Linked DNA regions of Astyanax mexicanus. The protein of the gene in region 2 interacts with the protein of the main gene of each other region in a biochemical or structural test. Links are inferred from orthologs where the notes say so. Each region holds a gene or a part of one and is shown on either strand. Other genes may lie near its edges. The genes, in order: fibulin-2, hspg2 and kdr.

The links.
Region 1: the proteins of hspg2 (region 2) and fibulin-2 form a complex in vitro, tested with the Homo sapiens proteins (2 studies listed by BioGRID). The link is inferred for Astyanax mexicanus from reciprocal best matches to the Homo sapiens genes HSPG2 and FBLN2.
Region 3: the proteins of hspg2 (region 2) and kdr form a complex in vitro, tested with the Homo sapiens proteins (2 studies listed by IntAct). The link is inferred for Astyanax mexicanus from reciprocal best matches to the Homo sapiens genes HSPG2 and KDR.

What each region holds. Positions count from the first base shown.
Region 1 is NC_064420.1:47,016,261-47,023,271, forward strand, and holds the start of fibulin-2, read left to right. Parts: upstream 1-3,968; 5' UTR 3,969-4,063; intron 4,064-7,011. UniProt on the Homo sapiens protein: Its binding to fibronectin and some other ligands is calcium dependent. May act as an adapter that mediates the interaction between FBN1 and ELN.
Region 2 is NC_064420.1:1,885,894-1,892,860, forward strand, and holds the start of hspg2 (basement membrane-specific heparan sulfate proteoglycan core protein), read left to right. Parts: upstream 1-3,890; 5' UTR 3,891-4,047; coding exon 4,048-4,248; intron 4,249-6,967. UniProt on the Homo sapiens protein: Integral component of basement membranes. Component of the glomerular basement membrane (GBM), responsible for the fixed negative electrostatic membrane charge, and which provides a barrier which is both size- and charge-selective.
Region 3 is NC_064408.1:64,162,096-64,169,936, reverse strand, and holds the start of kdr (vascular endothelial growth factor receptor 2), read right to left. Parts: upstream 3,035-7,841; 5' UTR 2,778-3,034; coding exon 2,714-2,777; intron 1-2,713. UniProt on the Homo sapiens protein: Tyrosine-protein kinase that acts as a cell-surface receptor for VEGFA, VEGFC and VEGFD. Plays an essential role in the regulation of angiogenesis, vascular development, vascular permeability, and embryonic hematopoiesis.

The DNA.
Region 1 (7,011 bases), about 45 Mb from region 2:
ATCCAGTATTAAATAATAAAAAAAAATGATACTGGACAGATATAATTTGTCTCTAATAGATATATAATGGGAAATAAGAACAGTGTGAATTTTTCTTTTAATAAAAACAGCGAAAGTAGTACCCTGATGTGATAATGTGGGGTGTGATAATCAGGGGTGGGTGATATGGCACCATATTTCAGGGTTTAATATCGTTTACGATATTAAAAAATTGGCAATATTATCGTGTACAATATAATATGGCACACCTCTAGTTATGGTTATGATCTCAAAGTCTGGGTTATGATTTGAAAGGCTGGGATATGATCCCTTAGTTTCTCAGGGGGACGTCTGTAAAAAATATTTCAAACTTCTACTCAGTGATAAAACTCCTGCATCCAGACTGCAGTTGAAAAAACAGGAGGACCAGTGAGTTCAGTAGCTCCTCCATTTCCACTCGCTGTTGTGTTTTTATGTAGATCTCCAAGGAAACGTGCACCCAATAATAACGGTGTGCGGCAGTGGACAAATAGCTATTTTATTCAACACGAGGAGACGAAACTCAGAGATATGCATCCGGACGATACTAAAAGTACTGGAGTTCAGCGAAAAACAGTAGATAAATCAGCCTGTCATTTTTTTTTAGAGAACATAATCTCAGAGACACGCACATGGTCGTTCTGGACAGGAATAAAATCACAGAGGATAAAAAAAACCCGTAAAAAAGAAAATTACCCCAGAACCCCCTGAGAAAATAATTCTGTCCAAATAGGGCTAAAGTCTGGGATATGATCTTAAAGTCTGGGTCATAATCTAAAGGTCTTCAATATTCTAGCTGGAGCATCTGTGACTAAGACAGCAAGTCTTTGTGATGCATCAAGAGCCACGGTATCCAGGGTAATGTCAGCATACCACCAAGAAGCACCAACCACATCCAACAGGATTAACTGTGGACGCTGTAAGAGGAAGCTGTCTGAAAGGGATGTTCGGGTGCTAACCCGGATTGAATCCAAAAAACATAAAACCACGTCTGATCAAATCACGGCAGAATTCAATGTGCACCTCAACTCTCCTGTTTCCACCAGAACTGTCCGTCACCACAATAAATTATTGTGCTCTAAAACCAGGTGTTTCAGTTTCATTGTAGTATATTTCACAACAAATGGAACATGTTTTAAAAATATATATATTTTTTTGTTTGTGCAGACGTTGTGAAACAATGGTGCTCACCGGTTGGTTAGAGAGTGGCGTTAATCCTGAGAAATGTGGAGAGGTCAGCGAGACGTCGGCCCCCTGCAGGGCCATTAGGTGGATTATGAGGAGGCGGGGAGCGAGGCGCAGGGTCGCAGCAGTAATACTGGCAGAAGTCACGATTAGGCCACGCATGAATGAGAAATAACAACAGAGCTGAGGGCAATTACCTTCTCCCGGGCAGAGCGCGTCAGATCGCATTACTTGCGTCCAGACGTTTCTGCACAGGCAGAGACTGACCGGCCCTGAGGACCCGCGGACCAGCCGGTCACCCAATACCCCGTCCAGATACTATCTGATCTTCATCTGCAGGACCTGCTGTGGGCTTCAGGACTGTGTCTGCACAGCACACTTCCTCTTCCTCTGAGAGAGAGAGCACTATAAACCAGCAGAACTAAAGAGGATAAATTCACCAAATCCGATTAGACTTTCTCTCTGTTTACATATTCAGAGTTCATTCAGACAGAAACAACAGAAATACTCTAAATACACCTGTGATTAACCCAACTACTGAACTGAGAAAACTCTACACCTGATATTTTAATATTCATTCATAAGCAGTAAACACACAGGACAGGACTAATTTCAGAACATGTGCTTATTATACTGTATCTATTGTTTAATAAAAAGTGAACTTTCAAGAACATTTGGGAAAACTTTGGAAGAACTTTTAGAGAACTTTTAAAGAACTTTAAAGGACATTGGAAGAACTTAGGGAGAATTTGGGAGAACTTTGGGAGTTCTTTTAAAGAACTTTAAAGAGCATTGGGAGAATTTGGGAGAATGTTTAAAGAGCATTGGAAGAACTTTGGGAGAATTTGGGAGAATGTTTAAAGAACATTGGAAGAACTTTGGGAGATCTTTTAAGGAACTTTAAAGAGCATTGGAAGAACATTGGGAGAATTTGGGAGAATGTTTAAAGAACATTGGAAGAACTTTGGGAGATCTTTTACAGAACTTTAAAGAGCATTGGAAGAACTTTGGGAGCACTTGGAAGAACTTGTAGAGAACTTTAAAAAACACTGAGACTTTTTTAGAGAACTTTGGGAGAACTTTTATCTAGATAACTTTGAAGAACATTGGGAGAACTTTTAGGGAAATTTGGGAAAACTAAGAGAACTTTAAAAAACACTGAGATAACTTTTTTAGAGAACATTGGGAGAACTTTTATCTAGATAACTTTGAAGTACATTGGGAGAACTTTTAGAGAATCTGGGAGAACTTTTAGAGATTTTGGGAGAACTTTTAAAGAACTTTGAAGAACATTCAGATTTTGGGAGAAATTTTAGAGAGCTATCAAGAACATTGGGAGAACTTTCAGAGAACCTCTGGAGAATTTGTGAGAACTTTGAGAGAACTTTGAAGGACACTGGGAGAACTTTCAGGGAAATGTAGGCGAACTTTTAGCTAGAGAACCTTTGTAGAACTTTTAAGAACATTAGGAGATTTTTGGGAGACGTTGGGAGAACTTTTAGAGTACTTTGAAGAACTATGCTGAGGTGTTGGTCCTCTCATCTATTATTTAATACACTCTAAAAGGTGATTTTTTTTATGTTTGGCCACCTTAACTAATATCATCATGTGGAGTAAACTTTCCAAACTGTACAACCCAACAATAGAATAAGTTCAAAGAACTTTAACCCAAAAACATGTGTATACATAGTTAATACACTGTGTATATATTGTAAATTAATAAAAAAGAATTTGGGAGAACTTTTGGAGAACTATTAGAGAACTTTGGGAGAATTGTAAAAGAATTGGAAGAACTTTTAGAGAACATTTGAGACAACTAAGAGATTTTGGGAGAATATTTAGAGAACTTTAAGAGAACTTTGGGAGAATTTTAAGAGAATTTGGGAGAACTTTTAGGGAACTTTGGGAGAACTTTTAGAGAACATTTGGGACAACTAAGCGAATTTGGAAGAATATTTAGAGAACTTTAAAGAACATTGGGAGAATTTTAAGAGAACTTTAGGAGAACTGTAGTTGTAGATCATTGCTAATTGATTGTGCTGAGGTATAGGCCCTGTTTCTTATTCTTTCTCAATTTCTTTCTTCCTTTATGTCTCTTTTTCTCTCTCTGATATTTTAATAGTCATTCATAAGCAATAACACACAAGACATTTCTTTCAGAACATTTATTTATTATACTGTATCTATTATTTAATACACTCGAAACACTGAACTTTAAAGAACATTTGGGAGAACTTTTAGAGAACTTTTTGGGAGTTGCTCCCTTTGCTGACACAGATATGCAAATGCACACAAACACCGTGTCTAGTCTCTGTAGAGACATATCGCCAAAAGAATAGGACTCCCTGGAGCAGATCAACCTTAAGGACCCTATTGGCACCATGCCTACTGCCAGATATGGGCTAGATAGAGGGGTATAAATAAAGCCCCCCAGCATCGCCCAATACTTCTTATTGAGTTCTTATAGAGAAATGAGTGAATGAAGCACGCGCCCCTCCCACATAAAACATAACACAGCGTGAATATTTCCCCCACCTGTTTTCATAACAAGTTCTCTGATTGGCTAGTAATCTCCCTCCTTACCACTGCTGTGCTAGGATTGGTCAGTTGGGTTCACCCTGCAGTGCTGTGATTGGTTGCTACTATGTATCCTCTATCTGCCCACCCACTTTCCAACTAATAACCAATCCGAGCGCAGTGGGCGTGGCTTTCCGGAATACCGGTGTGAAACAGCGCTGAGCTCCGGGTTTGAAAGAGAAGCGCAGCGCTGCGCTCAGAGAGAGAAGACCACCCGAACGGAGCCCACCACCACCACCACCAGGACCACCACCACCACCAGTAGCTCCACCACTGCGGGCAGGTAGGCTCTTCTGCTGCTTTTTCTGCAGGAATCACAGCAGTTAGAGAAGTACACTGAGCTGTTCTTTGGGTTCAGAATGGAAGGAGAACTTTAGGAGATCGGTGTTGATGGATTATGCTGAGATATAATCACCGCAAACTCTCTCTCTCTCATTCTATGCCTATAACTCTCTCTCTCTCTTAGTTGATGCATCTTTCTCTTTTTCTCTCATTCATCTCTTTGGAATGCTGTGAGAACATTATGAGAACTTTAGGATAACTTTAGAAAAAGACTGAGTGGGAGATGTTTAGATCTTTGTTTGAACTATGAAGAACCATTAGGAGAATTGAGATAATTTTGAATAACATTTGGGAAAATGTTGGGAGAACTCTGTAAGAACATTATGAGGATTTTAGGAAAACTTTGGAAAAGACGGAGTGGGAATTTTTAGGACATCTTTATTAAAACTTTGAAAAACATAGAGAACTTTGGAAGAACTCTGTGAGAACATTATGAGGACTTCAGGAGAACTTTAGGAAAGACTGAATTGGAGATTTTTGGGAGATCTTTACTAAAACTTTACTAAGAACTATTAGGAGCATTAGGGGATTTAGAGAACTTTGAAGAACATTTTGGAAATTAGGAGATCTATGGGAGATTGTTGGGAGAAGTCTGTAAGAACATTTTAAGGACTTTAGGAGAACTTTGGAAAAGACTGAGTGGGAGATTTTTAGAAGGTCTTTGCTAGAACTTTAAGGAACATTTGGCAGAACTTTGATAGAATTTGGGAGAACTTTCAAGAACAATTGGGAGAACTTTGGGAGAATGTTGGGGGAACACTGTGAGAACATTATGAGGTACTGAGGTACAGACCCTCTCACTGTCTCATATTCTCTCACTCTCTCCCTTTCTCTCTTTCTCCCTCTCTCTCTCTCTCCATTCATTGCTCATCTCTCTTTCACTCTCTCACTCTGTCATCTTTCTCTCTCTCTCTTTCCCTCTCACTCTGTCCATTTTTCTACTCTCTTCGTCTTCCTCTCTCACTCTGTCTAACTGTTCATTTTTTTTCTACTTTATTCATCTTTCTTTCTCTCTCTTTCTCTCCCACTCTGTCCATTTCTCTCTCTCTTCGTCTTTCTCTCTCACTCTGTACATTCAATTCTCTCTCTCTCTCGCTCTCTCTTTATCTCTCACTCTGTCCATTTCTCTCTTTCTTCCATTCTCTTTGTTTTTCTCTCTCACTGTTCATTTCTCTATCTTTCTCTGTCTTTCTCTCTATTTTATTTTTCTTCTTTCCACTCTTTTAAGATTTAAGATGTGTAGCTTTATTGAGGTGGCTCTTATGAGCATAATATTACCGAAGTTTTACAAAAACAGTGACAATTAAAGCAACTTCGTGTGTAATTCTTTCTGAATGTATGTTTCAGTCTTTGTCAGCTAGTTTCTCTTTGTGTTTCTTTCTCTCTTCGTATCACCCTCTGTCTGCATCTCTTCCACACTTTCTCTCCTCTGAATCACACACTCCAAAAACACACTCCACCAGACAGTACACATAATGCACTATATTTCCTACACCCAACATGCACTATATGTCCAAAAGTATTTGAACAGCTGCTCATTCATTGGTTCTGCTCAACATTAATATCATATGCTTCTGTTAAAGTAACTGTCTCTAGTGTTCTGAGAAGAGTTTCTACTAGGTTTTTCGAGAATTGCTGTGAGGATTTGATTGCATTTAGCGACAAGATAAACAATAGTGAGGTCAGGATGTTCGGTGATAACTAGTGCTGCACGATACTGGAAAGAATTTACATTGCGGTGATATATATCGCAATATTAAACATTGCAGGGCCCATGCCATCACCAGCCCCGCCCCCACCCAAGCGCCGTCTCGCGTCCGGACCAATCAAGAGCTGAGTCGGCACAGGGCTCAACTCAAAACCCGAGGAAAACAGCAAAACAACAGAAATCGGCCCTTTAATCAGGCATTTAAATGCCCTTTTAAAAGGTAAATAAGAGCATTTGTTTTTCTGGGATTAAAACGTAAATTCAGCTGTAAATGGAAATATCTGTGCTGCAAAACTGTGCTGGACTGAGCTGCACAGCTTTGAACATGTGCTCACATTTACAAGCACGTGCCCAACCATGTGGATGGAGGCCATGCGGTTACATCGCGCTCCCCCTCCCCCTCGCGCTTCTCAGGCAGCAGCAGCCTGTCACTCACACAGACACAGAGACAGCACTGTGTATCTATTTCTTGTGTCATGAATCAAAACATGACGCAACATGACATGTTTAATTGAATTGCCTTAAGTGACATTGTACGTCCTGCGATGTGATTATTGCAGAGAACACAGGGTGTCCTATTCTATTGGCACTACTTTTCTACAGGGACTACACAAGCTGTGTTGTGCATTTGCACATCAAGGGTCAGCAACGGATGCACATTAAAGCAGCTGACTGTATTCATTAGAAGTGCTGTCTACAAACATTATAGGAGGTGTTTTTGCAGTATGTAGTGCTGATGAGTTAATATCAGAGGGCCTGTAGAAACGCTGCTTGTATAAATATATGAGTTGTAGATTTCTGAGCTGCTTTTCTTTTCAGTGGCATGCTTTAGTTTGGCTGCTCCTCTGACGTCTGATTTATTAAGAGTCCGGGAGGCATTTTTCCCTGATTTAGTCTCAGCAATTCTTCTGTGTGTGTTTATAGTGGACGTCAATCTGAGCAAAACCTCAGATCTCAGAAAAACAAAAGATCTGAGAGAGAGCTTTTACTGCACACATACACTTTCTGGCCACTTTATTAGAAACACACAATAGAACCATACAAAAGAAAAAAGAACCAACATTCGGTTTAAGCTAAATAACTCAATCTTTGCAATGTGTGTCTGTGTGAGCCACACTAAACATGAAGAACAGAAAGAGGTGAAGAGAACTGTTCAGGACTGTTCATGGGTCTTGCAACAG
Region 2 (6,967 bases):
TACCTGTCTACCTCTCTATCCTGCGGCGCGAGCGCTCAGAAAGAGAAGAGAAAGTCCGCAGGCCACGCCCACACACCCCTGTTATGCTGCGCACCTGTTCTCCAGAATTAGCATACCGTGCTCTCATTGGTTAGACTGTGCTTGAAAATGGGTGTGGCGTTTGTCACAGGTGTGTATATTATGTGATGGCATGGCTCCTCTTGTGAAAAGGAAGTATATTTAAGTATATAAACTTAAACTTAAAAGTATGTTCTGTTTTTTTCTGTATTTTTCTGTTTAATATACTTGATAAAAATACACATTAAAATATGATTTTACAAGGAGGTTACCAGAATGTGTATAAAGGTTAAATAAAAACATTCTAGGAACATTTAGAAAACTTGACAGAACATTTTAAGAACGTTAATTGTAAAAAAAATATCAAAAGTACTGTTTCAATTGAATATACTTTATGAAAATATTACACATTATATATACCTAAAACTTACATTTGAAGATTAATTGTAAGATTCAGAAAATGTTCTACTAACTAAATATTGTTAGTTGCATAGATAGATGCATATTGATCCACACCTTAATGCTGCTTTAAATAAAAATACATTAAATGCACTTTAAGCAGCCTTTAATTTACGTTTTATTTAAATGTAAATACAGAGAGTATAAAAGTATATTTAGTGTATATTTTCATAAATTATATTAAATAGAAAATGTACTTTTAGTATTCTTTACCTACTTTAAACATATATTTAATGCTCTTAAGTATATTTCCTTTTCAATAGGGTGCACCTGATGTAAATATATCTCTTTACTAGTTTTTCTCAGCATTCGTGATCATTTCTGAGTGTGAGAAGCTGCTGTGTCTCCTGTCTCAGTTTGTTTTCACTGTAAACACACAGCGGTTAGACTTGTTAAAGACTGGAAGAACGAGCTGCAGTTCAGACTCATCATTACTGAAGCAGCACATTTTACAGAGTTCCTTCCTGGAGGTTGGAGGCCTGTTCTCCTCCTCCTTCCTCTAAAATAAACTCTGCAGAACCAGATTTACCTGTGGAGCCATCCTTCCTCACACAGACTGCTTCAGTGTTTTATTGCTTAGAGCCTATAAAACAATACAGTCATCAAACAAGCTGCATATTTGTTCAACATATATATATATATATATATATATATATATATATATATATATATATATATATATATATATATATATATATATATATATATGTTCCAAAGCCTAAGCTGCATTCGAGGCAGGGCGGTTCCTCTGTAGGACTGTCCAATGAAAACCTTCCATTGGAAAACCTGTGTGCTTTTTCATTTCTTTACAGAAATAATTAATAAATAATTTAAAAACATTTTAAAACAAATCTACACCAGGGTCTTTGTTTCCTTGTTAATTTCCACCAATTACCTTGTTGCCGTTTTAACTTTTTCCTCATTGCGTCGGACATGCGCATTGAATTGTGGGTAACTGTGGGCCAGGAAGGATACATCGGCTGCATCTATTAAATCACAATGAACGTCGATAGTATCTAAAAATAATGACTTAGTATCTAAAAATAATAAATTAGCATCTCAAAATACTAAGATAGTATCTCAAAATAATGAGATAGTATTTAAAAAAATGTCTTGGTATCTCAAAATAATGAGAGAGTATCTTAAAATAATGACATTCTATCTCACAATAATATAACAATATCCTAAAATAGTGAGATAGTATCTCAAAATAATGATTTGCTATCTTTAAATAATAAATTAGTATCTCACAATAATGAATTAGTATCTTAAAATAATAAATTAGTATCTCAAAATAATGACTTACAATCTTAAAATAATTTCTTACAATCGTAAAATAATAAGATAGTATCTTAAAAATAATGACTTACAATTTTAAAATAATGAGAAGATAAAAGAAAAATGGGCTGGATTAGTTTTTATTGAATTTCAGGTGGTGGGAATAGGCTTTCATAATATGCATTAAATCTAAATAAATGATATGAAAAAAATGTATTTATTTTCCCTTAGTAGCTCGAATTCTTAAATGGTTTCCAGTGCAGTGGGCGTGGCTAATATGCTGTTTGATTTGCCGATAAATGTTTATTCTGATGGAAAACAGGTCTCGATCTGCATTAAGTGCAAAAATACACAAGAAAGAGGAAAATACATATAATGTCTATTTTAAGGGACGCGGGATCTGAAAGGGTTAAGCTGTGGCTGTGCTGTAATGCGGGTAAATATCAGCAGGGGGCGCCACATTTCAACAAACTTGTAAAAGCAAGGCCTCGATCTCACTACTGAAACTCAGAGTCTGAATGATTCAGTATGTTCTATAAATCATATAAATACCAATCATTATCATTAAGTGAATCACTTTTAATAAACGTTATAAATAAATATTAAATGGTGCCAATCATTAATCGCAATTTTTGTTGTAACATTTTTTGTGTGTGTTTTTAGCTTGTCAGGTGTTGAAAAAAAAGCTTATCATTTTAGGCTTTAAAGGTCAACCCATACATTTTTTTATTTAAAAAATTAAAAAATATCTAATTCAAAACAATCAAGAAGCTTCAATCAAGAAGCATTAATTATTTGACAGGGATTGAGTACACCATTATCCAATCAAATATTATTTCAATCAAATATTCGTATTTCTAAAAATATGAAGCAAGATAGATTTGAATGTTGGGTTCTGATTTTTATTTTATTTTAAAATTGTACGTTGTATTGTCAGATTATTTTTTAAGAGTAAATTTCACCACCTCACAAGTCAAAACCCCCCAAAACAGATGCACTTTTCTGTTAACAAAATCACACCATTAAATATTGCAAGTCTATGAAACGTCAGTTTAAAATATCTATAAACAAGCAGATATAGAATATTAAAAATGGAGAAATTAATGAAAAGCTCTGTCTCTGGGTTTAGGGTTCAGGTTCAGAGCTGTAATGCTGGTAAAGCAACTCACAGACAGACAGACAGACAGGTCTATCATTCAGCTCGACATTTTTAGCAAACTTGCGGAGCATTTATAACCAAACAGATAATATTTTTTTCATCCTCTTTAACTCTTTAAAATATTTCAATTAACACACATAATAAAATTGTGCTATAATCACAAGCAATAACACACTTGTGGTTTGTGCTATAATGTGTAATATTGGCACAGCTATGCTGCTCTACAACCGCATGTAACAGAACAAACCACGAGTGTATTATTGCTTAATTATGTTTATTGTTTTTATATTTCAGTTTTAGTTACAGGCTAAACTTGCTGGCACCTTTTCCACAAAACGTTACTAAAGCGTTCTTATAATGTTCTCTATTAGCTGAGTAACTGAGGGTTTCTTTATTATGTTTAATATTTGTTATGATTATTGTGTTATTATGTTTCTTTATTTTTTTTAAATATATATTATTATATTATATTATTGTATGTACATTTTCTATGCTATAAAAGTATGTACTTTTTCATGTTTAGTAAACTTGAACGCATTTTTCTTTTCTTTTACTTTTGTTAGCTAAGTAACTGTTTGGTTTGGTGAGAGTTTTTTTATTATGTTTATTTTTACTATGTCTATTGTGTTATTATGTTTCTTTATGTTTTGTGTATATTATTATATTATATTATACTACATTATATTATTGTATGTACATTGTTTATGTTTAGTATACTTAAAATGCACTTTTACAGACTAATCTGCCTGGAAAGTTTTCAACAAAACGTTGCTAAACGTTCTTATAACGTTTTTTGTTTGCTAAGTAACGTTTTTTTTTAAATAGTTGAGTTTCTCTCTCTCTCTTTCTCTCTCCCTGACTCCAGACTCCAGTCCGGGTTTTCCTCCAGTCCCGGATCAGGGGGGGAGTCCCGATCCCACCCCAGCACCTCCAGCACCTCCAGCGTCCGGCCAGTCCTCCCAGTCCTCCCAGTGCTGCAGAACCTCCATACAGAGCTCATAGACCAGCAGCCCGGGCACGCGCTCGCTTTTACACAAGTTTTCGTGCAGCGCGTGCTGAGCAACACCTGCACGGATACTCCTTTAATTCGGTAAATGAGGTCCCGCCGCGCGTGGGACCGGGACACGCACTCCGCAAACTTCTGCCGAGCGCTTTTATTCTCCCCGGAGTTCGGGCTCCGCGCGCGGATCGGTACCGGAGCTGGGCGGACAGGAGAAAACATGGGCTCGAGGATAGGTGTCCGGAAAGTCTCAGGACTGCTCTTCTGGCTTTTAGTGAGCTCCTATATAGTTCAGGTAAGAAAGCAAAGCAAGCTTAAAACTTCTAACTTTTACTTCTAGTTCTACTTCTACTTTTATTTCTAAGTTACTTATATTCTACTTGTAGTCCATCTTCTATTTCTAGTCCAAGTTCTACTTTTAATCCTACTTCTTCTCCTTGTCCTACTTCTATACTACTTATTGTACTACTTCTATTCTACTTTCTCCTGCAACTTTCACATCAGCCTATTTATTCCATTAGCATGAGTTGGCTTTGCATTGTTGTTGTGCATAGAAAAAACAAAGACTTTAAGACTATCCATGACACGACTTTGCACAACTAAACTTGTTAGGTTAGCTACCAATTGCACTTTTCACTTTTCCTTATGTCTATCTAGTGCATGAGCTTCCCCCCAAAATAACTTTTTCTTTCTAAGTAAAGTTAGAAATGTATGTGCTATTCTGAAGTGAAAGTGGTGGTTAAGCCACACTGATTGAGTCTTACTACAACTTTTGCACAGATTTGATAGTAAAGCACTCAAAATCCAACTTTCACACAGTCCAGAAGACACACAAGCCTCCTCCACTTTCTTCCCAACAGTATCTGAGTGTACTCTGGTCTAATTTTGTCCACAGAAACAAGCTATTCATAGTCATAGTCTTGTTGGCGTCTCTTTGCCTGCAAAACTTTGCCTGATCAACTTTGGTTTCAAGTAGTATTGAGGTGTTAAACACCTGCAGAGGTGGCTGGAGCTCAACTTTAAGGAGCTACTAATGTTTAACAGAAAATTAAAGGGGTCTAAGATTGACCCTTGATACACACCACACACCACAATGACTGTATGCTATTCTCATAGTTTGATTTATTGCTAATTTTCTTGGGTATTAATGGTAGTATTTGTTGGTACAGTGTCTATTCATATACCTTTCATATTTAGTTTCTATGTTTTATGCATTGTTGACTGAAAGACAATATCCACTTTGGTTAAAACTCCTTCTATTTTTTTAAGAGATACTAATGTTAAATAGAAATTCAAAGGGGCCTCAGATTGACCCTTGATACACACCACATCGTTTTGTGTAGCTTTTAATGACTGTGTGGTCTTCTTATGTTGTAACTTATTAGCCTACTACTTTTCTTAAGTAACAGTCAATTGTCAACAGTCAATAGAAACTCAAAGGGGCCTGAGGTTGACCCTTGCTGCACGCCACATTACTTTGTTTAATGACTGTATAGTGTTCATATTGTGTGACTTATTACTAATTCTAATGGATAATAATGGAAGTTACTTTAACATATCAGTGAACAGGTCAGTGGACTGTATGAATTTGTTGGTAGAATGTAGGTAATCATAAAACCTCCTTTATTTTAAGGATTATTGGCTGCTTAACTTGTTCAGCTTTAGTTTTCAGCAATATTGAGATATTGAGGCTAAAAACCTTCAGAGGTTGTTGGTGCTTATTTTAAATTACCTACAACTTATATGATACAGTAGTTTCACATGTATTGATCTGTTTTTGTCATTAATACAGAAGTAAAATCAGTATCCCTGATGAAACAGCTTCCTCAGTTTTACTATTGTTTCAGAGACCACCAGAGCTCACACAATGGCATTGTAATTGGATTATCCGGAACCAAGGGCATCTGTTTTCCACATTACAAGACGGCTTTACTACTTTCCAGACAGCTCTTTTGATTCAATTGAGTTTTGGGGCGCTGGTTGCTCCCGGCAGTGCTGGTTTCCAGTAGGAATTTCAGGTCAAAGAGTATCAATCAGCCCCAACAAAACCCCAATAAAAACACTTTATGACCTTTTAGTTTACTGCCACAGTCAAGTGGCCCGACCCTCTGTGAACAATCAGTAGCCTGATAATTACCACTGTGTTCTTTACCATCTGTCACTTAAAGCCGTCAGTGATGGTTTAATTTCTGAATGTAAGTTTTGAGTGAATTTACTTTAATAGCCTAAAGCATTTAACAGTTTTAAGAGCAGTTTCACACAAAGGCGTTTAAATTATGCTGTTAGAATTTGCCTGTGTTGCAGTCTGTAGACTGTGTTGGAATCAGAAGTCTGTGTTGGAGCCTGTGTTGAAATCTGTGTGTTGGAGTCTGTAGCCTGTGTGTTGGAGTCTGTAGCCTGTGTGTTGGAGTCTGTAGCCTGTGTGTTGGAGTCTGTAGCCTGTGTGTCGGACCCTGTAGCCTGTGTTGGAATCTGAAGTCAGTGTGTCATAGCCTTTGTGTCAGAGCCTATGTGTTGGAGTCTGTAGAGTGTGTTGGAGTCTGGAGACTGTGTTGGAGCCTTTGTTAAAGTCTTTGTGTTGGACTCTGGAGTGTGTTGGCCCCTGTGTGTTTGAGCCTGTGTTTGACCCTGTGTTGGACCCTGTAGACTGTGTGTTGGAGCCCGTGTGATGAAGTCTAGAGTCTGATTTGGAATCTAGAGCCTGTGTCGGAGAGCCTGTGTCGGAGAGCCTGTGTCGGAGAGCCTGTGTCGGAGAGCCTGTGTCGGAGAGCCTGTGTCGGAGAGCCTGTGTCGGAGAGCCTGTGTCGGAGAGCCTGTGATCACTATTGTGACCATCAGTGTCTATTTTAGTTAGCTCTCTCTTCACATAGAGCTCCGCAAGTGTTCTCTGACTTCATCTGATGGTATGCTGCTGGGGATCGCATGGCCTGGATTCCTGCGGCCATATACAGCTCACTGCCGGGATGTTGTGACAAACAATTTTCTATTTTATTGCCCCTCACCTTGGCTTGGTT
Region 3 (7,841 bases), on a different chromosome or scaffold from region 2:
TTCTAAGCCACAACATTCAGGAATTTATTAGTGTACAGAGTAAACAGTAAATTTGCCAGTCTTGAATCAACACTGATTTTGTTAAACAAACATTGTGAGTGTTGAAATGTAATTAAACACTGGCAAAGTTAATGTGTAGCGCCAATCTGGGTAATAGTTTGAAGGATATTTACTTAATGTGCTTCATGTCATCTTTTCTCATTACCATAGTAACATCATCTTTTAATTTGAACATCCATTGTACCGACATTTCTCATAACACATAGAACAATGTGACACAATCCAGAAGCTTCTCTGCACCAAATTTAAATTTTCTTATTTTGATTCATCTGACCACAGAACAGTTTTCGGGTTTGCCAATTTTAATGAGCTTTGACCCAGAAAAGACAGCAGTGCTTTTGTCAGAGGTCAGTGGCTTCTTCTTTGTATCAAACAGTTTCCACCTGCATTTGTATATTGCATGCTGAACCGTGTTTCTGGAGGTGTTCCTGAGCCCATGCAGTGATTTTCAGAAGAGAATCATGCCAGTTTTAATGCTGTTTTACCTGAGGACCTTAGGATCACCAGCATCCAATACTGATCCCTCTCCCTTGTCCCTTACACACAGATTCTCAGATTTTTCAATTATGATATGTACTGTACATGTTGGGATAATCAGGAATATCTTTAATTTTACATTGTGGAACTTTTTCATTAAAATTGTTTCACAAATTGTTGATGCATCTTTTTGCAGGTTGGTGAACCTCTCCCCATCCTTGCTTCTAAGAGTCTTTAACTCTCTAAAATGCTCTTTTTGTACCCATTCATGGGAGTTAGTCATGAATTGCTCCTATTGCAGCTGTTTTTATTAGGACCAGCTTTTTGTTGCCCTGTCCCAACTTTTTGGAGATGTGTTGCTCCCACACATTTTACGACAATTGGGAACTATACTATTTTCTGTTCTTTTTTACATGTATTTATATCATGAGGAATTCGATTTGGGGTTTGTATATTTTTATATTAATTAAATATACAAAGTATTGTAAGCAGAGCTGAACCCAAAACCTTACTATTTTCAGTACTCTTGCTTTGTATAATTCTCATTAATGCACATTTCTCCTTGTATCAGCAGCATAAATACACCATAAACTATACAGACTATAGCTGATAACAGCAGTAGTGAATCCGACTGCTTGAACTGGCCTGGTTCAGAATTCTGGGCCCATACAACTGAAATATTTCAAAGCACAAGTACTGATCTAAGACCAGCTTCCATCCATGTATTCTTCTAGAGACCTGAAGTCCACCTGATCCAGGACCAGCACTCTTGGAGAATTCTGGAGTGTGCAGTCTAAGCTCTGGGGCTATTTTTCCACTGGAGCAACAGCAGCAGTGCAGAGAACTGACTGTGTCAAAACAGGAAGCTGGGGCAGATGGGCCGGGGCCGGCCTAAATGGCCCCACGCTCCAAGCCCTGAGGTGGGGTTCCTGCTCCAGAGGAACCAGGGCAAGGGACAGCACACACACGCACACAAACATCGGCCCACAGCTACAATGAGCACACCCCACAGGGCCCCACTAATTCAAACATTTGATTTAAGAAGTGCTGAGATCTGATCTCAGAATTGTTGCTCACTGAGGTCATTTCAAACAACAATGCCAGTGTGGGAATGGCACCAGGTTCTGGGCAAAATGGTCACAAGTTTTAAAAAAAAAAAAAAAAGAAAGAAAAAAAGATGAAGGGCAAACGTTTAATATGAGCAGTCTGTCAGAACTAGCATTTGATCTTTATTATTTCTTTGATGACTTGTCATAAGAAATTATGTTTTCTACAATTAAATATTTTTATATTAACCTACAAATGTAATGTTAATGTATATATATATATTTATATATATAATATTTTGTATGTTTTTATACATAATTTTGATGTTCTCAAGCATTTTAAGACACTAGTCTGATACCCCTCCCTTCCTGAGCTGATTACAATTAAGCAGGAAAGAGTGGGTGCGATATATTTAGAGCTACTAAACACTTATTTATTTCTGAAAAAAAAATTGATGCACTAAATGTATTCGAACATAATAAAAAAATTAACATTTAACCAGAGAAAGGATATCGAACAAAATTTAATTAAGGTTTCATTAGTTTTGCCACTTTTCTCACCATAAAATACATAGACTATGTGTTTTTTTCCTTGCTTTTCAAATAAAACTTTATTGTTTGGTAATTATATATATAATTTTTATATATTATATTTATAATTCTATCTATTTAAACACACATCAAACACATATGAGTTTTTTTTTAAACTCTGTTGTTGTTTTTTTATTTATTTATATCTAGATATGTTGTTGCTTTTGTTTTTTTATTTTGTTTAAATCTAGATATTAGTGTTGTTTTTTTTATTAATTTAAATCTAGATATATTTTTTATTTAGATTTTTTACATCTATTCACTTACTGGTTTTGCTGTGTATTTTACTTTGAGTAAAATATTTATAATGAGTGGAACAATTATTAAAAATTACTTTTTGGATCTTTTTATATGGACTTTTACTTAAGAAGGGTTTTTACGTCTTTTCCAATGACAACAACATAAAAGACATAATAAACAAATCCGGGTCACTGCTTCATAATAAAACAATATGCAGTTATATTTATTAGATTTTAGGCTTTTGGTGGGTAAATAAATTATTATTATTATTTTTTAATATAAATCTGTATTGGTCTTACCTGTCACCCAGCTGACTGCAGAAATAATGCCCACCAGAGAGAGAAGTGAAAATGGCTTTGCCATGGTGCGACCACCCTGCCGGACTGTCCCCGCATCAAACCCCTCTTAGAAGTTCCCACAGGACGGCTATTCTCAGCTGCGCATCAGGACCCACAGCTCCACACTCACACACACACTCTCTCACACACACTGCTGTCCACACTCTCTCACACAGTCCTGTAGCGGAACCCGGAGATAATCCACTCAGCGATGCCCCGCGCACTGCAGGAGACCCGCGCGCTCCACACACACACTGAGGGAGCAGCACAGAGCGCGTGAGGAGGGAGATGATGGGGGGAGAGGGAGGGGCCGGTGACCCAGCCTCAGTCTCGAGCCTGGAAACGTGTGATAAACTGGACTGTGGGGAGTTTAGATCAGGTCTAGGAGTCAGGATGCGTCTTATCAAACACTAATTACCCCAGCACCTAAACCTATCAAGCAGTGAGTGATATCAGACCTGAACTGACCTGCACTCATAACAGTGATACTAGTGACTCTCACTACCAATAACAACAGACTCCTGTTCACAAAGCACAAATACACTGCCTGGCTAAAACAAGCAGGTGATCTGGTATTGTTGCAGTTGTTCAGGTCTGGGTTCAGTAACAGTATGTGCTGAAAGAATGAGGTCAGCTGACTACCTGGATATACTGAATATAGACCAGGTTATTCCATCAATGGATTTGTTCTTCCCTGATGACGAGGATATATTCCAAGATTACAATAACAGAATTCATGGGGCTGGAATTGTAGAAGAGTGGTTCAGGGAGCATGAGATCATCATTTTCACACATGGATTGTTCACCACAAGAAAAAGTGCAAAAGAAGCTTAATAAAAAACTCTGTTTACATCCCATAACACTAGCTTCAGCTCCGAGCGCCACCATCACTGAACTAAAAAATTACATAGACATAAATATACATAGACTTCGCATAGCCTGCCTCTTGGCGCCAGATGCTACGCTATGCGGAGCTGAAGCTAGCATTATAGGATGTAAACAGTAGTTTTTTAATAAGCTTCTTGTGCACTTTTTAAGTTATTAATGCATCATTTTAAATGTCAAGGTTCTCTGAATTCTGTCAAGGAGGTGTGGAGCTACTTTGAGGCTGGATAACAGTGGAAAAAGCGATTCATCGGGTCACCCGAGTCACCCAGTCTGAAGGGTGTTTGGACTGTGTATAGCTGGACAGAGCATCGTCTCTCAAAAGTGAAGCCACCACAGGTCGGGCGCCCCCTGCTGTTCGGTTTCAGAAAGCTGTGTAACCCCACCCATCCCCATAGGTTTCAATGGCAAAACAGACAACTTTCAATCACGTTTTTTTCTAATATACTGTATGTAACCCCTCCTACATCCCAGGCCAAAGGGACAGGGCCCCAAGTTCATTAATTAGACCTCTCCTGTAAATTTAGCTACCAACTGTAAATATGTCTTGAAGAAGTAAAAGACCTAGTCACAGGTAATTAAAGATATGTGGCTGCAATGAGTACTCCCAGTGAAGTTTATTGATGCACAAAAACAAAATGTATAAATGGGGATAAATAAAACTATACACACTAATGTGTAATTAGATCTGAAAATACCAATATAGGGAAAGAACTGATGTATTTCTTTTAAACCTTCTATAACCTAAATAACTTCAACTTAGGTAGACAATGCAGTGGACTCAATTAACATATTTAGTAATACTTGTTTAACAAAAAGAGGGGGAAAAAAAAAATACATTTATAAATAAATACAAAGAGCCGGCAGTAAATAAGAAATAAAATAAAAAAAACGTTGCAGGCCTGATACTGTTTCTGAACGGAGATGTTTACTCACAGTCACTCTTGACGAATTGACTCAGATTCATGACTCAGATTCTTGACTCAAATTCTTGACTCAGATTCTTGACTCAGAGCGGGTAGTTGGCCACTCTCCTCTACCTGAACAGGACTGAACTGAAGAATTCCCACGTTGCCGGAGGAACCACAGGTGCTTCCTGGCTGACCTGTGGCGCTATCCGGGGTAAAAGTGCTCCCACGAGGCACCCAGAGGAACCACGAGCGTTATCCTGGTAGCTCGTGGCGCTATCTGAGCGGCGAAAACACGCAGCTCCGCGTGGCTCGTCACTAAAGTTAAATCTCGTTACGGTTAGCCGGCTAGGCTAACTTACAAGCTATAAACAGAGTTAAAACTCATCTAATAGTGTTCAACAGCGAACTCTCTCAAAGAAAAACACTTCAGAAATACATACTCACTTAACTCATGGGTCACTCTGGACCCAAACTTTAACAAAACACCAAAAACGCCATAAAACATCCAGAGCTCCTGTATTTTTTCCCTCGTCCCTCTCTCTCTCCCTCTCTCTCCCTACACACACACACCGCTACTCCATTTCCCCGCCCCTTCAACCAATCAATGGAAAAGGAGGTAAGATTGGCAGGTAGATGACCCAATAAATGGACTCCCTAACCCTCTAAGGTGCTTGGGATGTAAGAACACTTTTCAAAATACTGTATAATTCAACGTAGAAAAAATATATATATTCTTATTACATTAAAAATCTTACACAAACTGCTACAATATTTCAGTACCATTCAACAACACCTATAAAACATTTTTTTTTCAGTAGTTAGATACATAGAAGCATGGAACTAAATATAGAACTGAATTATATTTGGGCTACACCCTCCCCCTTCTAAACGTCTGATGTCCTCATCTGACTTTTAAATTTTACTAGGCAGTTTCATTCGAGAGTCAACCGAACAGAAAAACAGGGGACAACTGAGGGTTCTACTGGGGGCGTGATATATATTCTCATCCCTCGGTGTACAATAACTAGAGGCTGGTCAGATGAACTCCCAAGCTCATCATAGCTCAGACGAATGACAGGTTTAACAGCTCTTTTACCCAAAGAGGGGTCACTGGGCATCATGTCTGGTTCGGTCTCCTGTTCCTCCAACAACTGTTGGTCACTGGTTGAGACCTCCATTGTATCAGAAACATCACAAAATTGCGATTCGGGTGCATTTTCCTCCCCTACAGACATAGGTATGTCTGGCTCCCCAGGGGGTTCTTCCTGTTCTGCAACTTCTGCATCGACAGGCTCACTTGCAAGATCGTGGCTCGGCCCCTCTGGCTGTAAGGATGGACTAGGAAAATGTTCAGAGAACTCAATAGGTCTGACATAAGGCATGTCCTCTTCCAAATCAGACTGCTCATTTTCTGTTTCAAAATGGCTCTCCGTGACTCTCGTTTGCTGCTGGCGACGTGTCCGAGCTTGTTGGTCCCCAAGGCTTGAATGTGAGTCTGCTATATCTGAAACATTTGGTAAACGCATCAGACAGCCAATGGGTAAAAGGTGGTCTCTGTGAAGTGTTCGGGGCACCCCTACTCCTCTCTCAGGTTTGACTCTGTACACAGGTATGTTAGGCATTTTTTCTACCACTGTATAAGGCACAGAATTCCACTTATCTTTCAACTTTTGTTTCCCAGTACTCCCTAAAGCACGGACCAGAACCCTGTCCCCCACCTCTATAGGAAGGTTGTGTACTTTGGCATCATAAGCCTTTTTGTTTTTGTCATGGCTCTTGTTAGAACACTCAACAGCCAGTTGGTATGCTCGACGCAGCTCTTCACGCAGCTTTTTCACGTACATCTCATGCTTGGCTTCCTCTTGCCCTCCCAAAGCAGTGCCAAAGCATACATCTATAGGTAAACGTGCTTCCCTACCAAACATTAAATAATAGGGAGAGTACCCCGTAGCATCATTACGGGTGGAATTATAAGCATGCACCATAAGTGCAACATGTTGACTCCATCTGTGCTTCAATTTTGGATCCAGGGTGCCCAGCATGGACAGCAGTGTGCGGTTGAAACGCTCTGGCTGGGGATCCCCTTGAGGGTGATAGGGAGATGTCCGGGATTTTTTTATACCCAGCAGGTCAAGTAGCTGCTTGATCAGGCGACTTTCAAAGTCACGCCCTTGGTCGGAATGGATACGGGCCGGCAGTCCATAGTGGACAAAGAACTTTTCTAACAGTACTTTGGCTACGGTAGGGGCCTTCTGATCCCGAGTAGGATAAGCCTGTGAGTATCTGGTGAAATGGTCTGTCACTATAAGGACATTAGCAATACCTTTAGAATCTGGCTCAACAGATAAAAAATCTATGCATACCAAATCAAGCGGGCCTTTACTAGAGAGCTGACCTAATGGTGCTGTTCTGCGGGGCAGAGTCTTTTGAGCTACACACCTGCCGCATGTTTTAATGTAGTTAACTATGTCCGATGCCATTCTGGGCCAATAAAACCGGTCTCTGACTAATTCAGTAGTCCTTTCAACTCCTAAATGGCCAAAGTCATCATGTAGAGAGCGTAGAACTGTATCCCTGTAAACTTTGGGAAGTACTAACTGGAAAATGTCATGCCCTCCTCTGTTGGTTCGCCGGTACAGGAGTCTATTTTTTAGCACAAGCTTCTGGAACTCACGTTTGAATAAGGGCATGTCTGGCATGTCACTCTGGAAACCCAGGGGCCACAGACCTCCATCTACAGCATTCCGGACCCTACTGATGACTGCATCAGCCTCTTGTGCTCTCCTCAAGTCCTCTCCACTCAGTTGCTCCAGTGAACTAACACCCAGTCTAGTGGGATAGGCATATAATTCTGGAATAGCATTAGGTGAGGCTCCTAACTGCTCTACATACCTGCTAGGCATGTCAACAGAAACATTCACCTTCTTACAGGAAGCTTTTACTGCGGCTGGGGAGATCCACCCCACATCATCGGTGGCATTTCGAGACAAAAGATCTGCATCAATATTCTCCCGTCCAGGCCTATACTGGATGCCAAAATCATATGTGGAGAGGGCAGCAAGCCATCGTTGCCCAGTGGCATTCAACTTAGCCGTAGTTAAAACATATGTGAGTGGATTGTTGTCAGTTCTCACAGTAAAGTGTACCCCATATAGATAATCATGGAATTTGTCAACTATGGCCCACTTCAGAGCTAGGAACTCAAGCTGATGAACCGGATATTTTTTTTCAGAACAGCTAAGCTTGCGACTGGCAAAAGCTACTGGGCGCAAACCTTCGGGATATTCCTGATT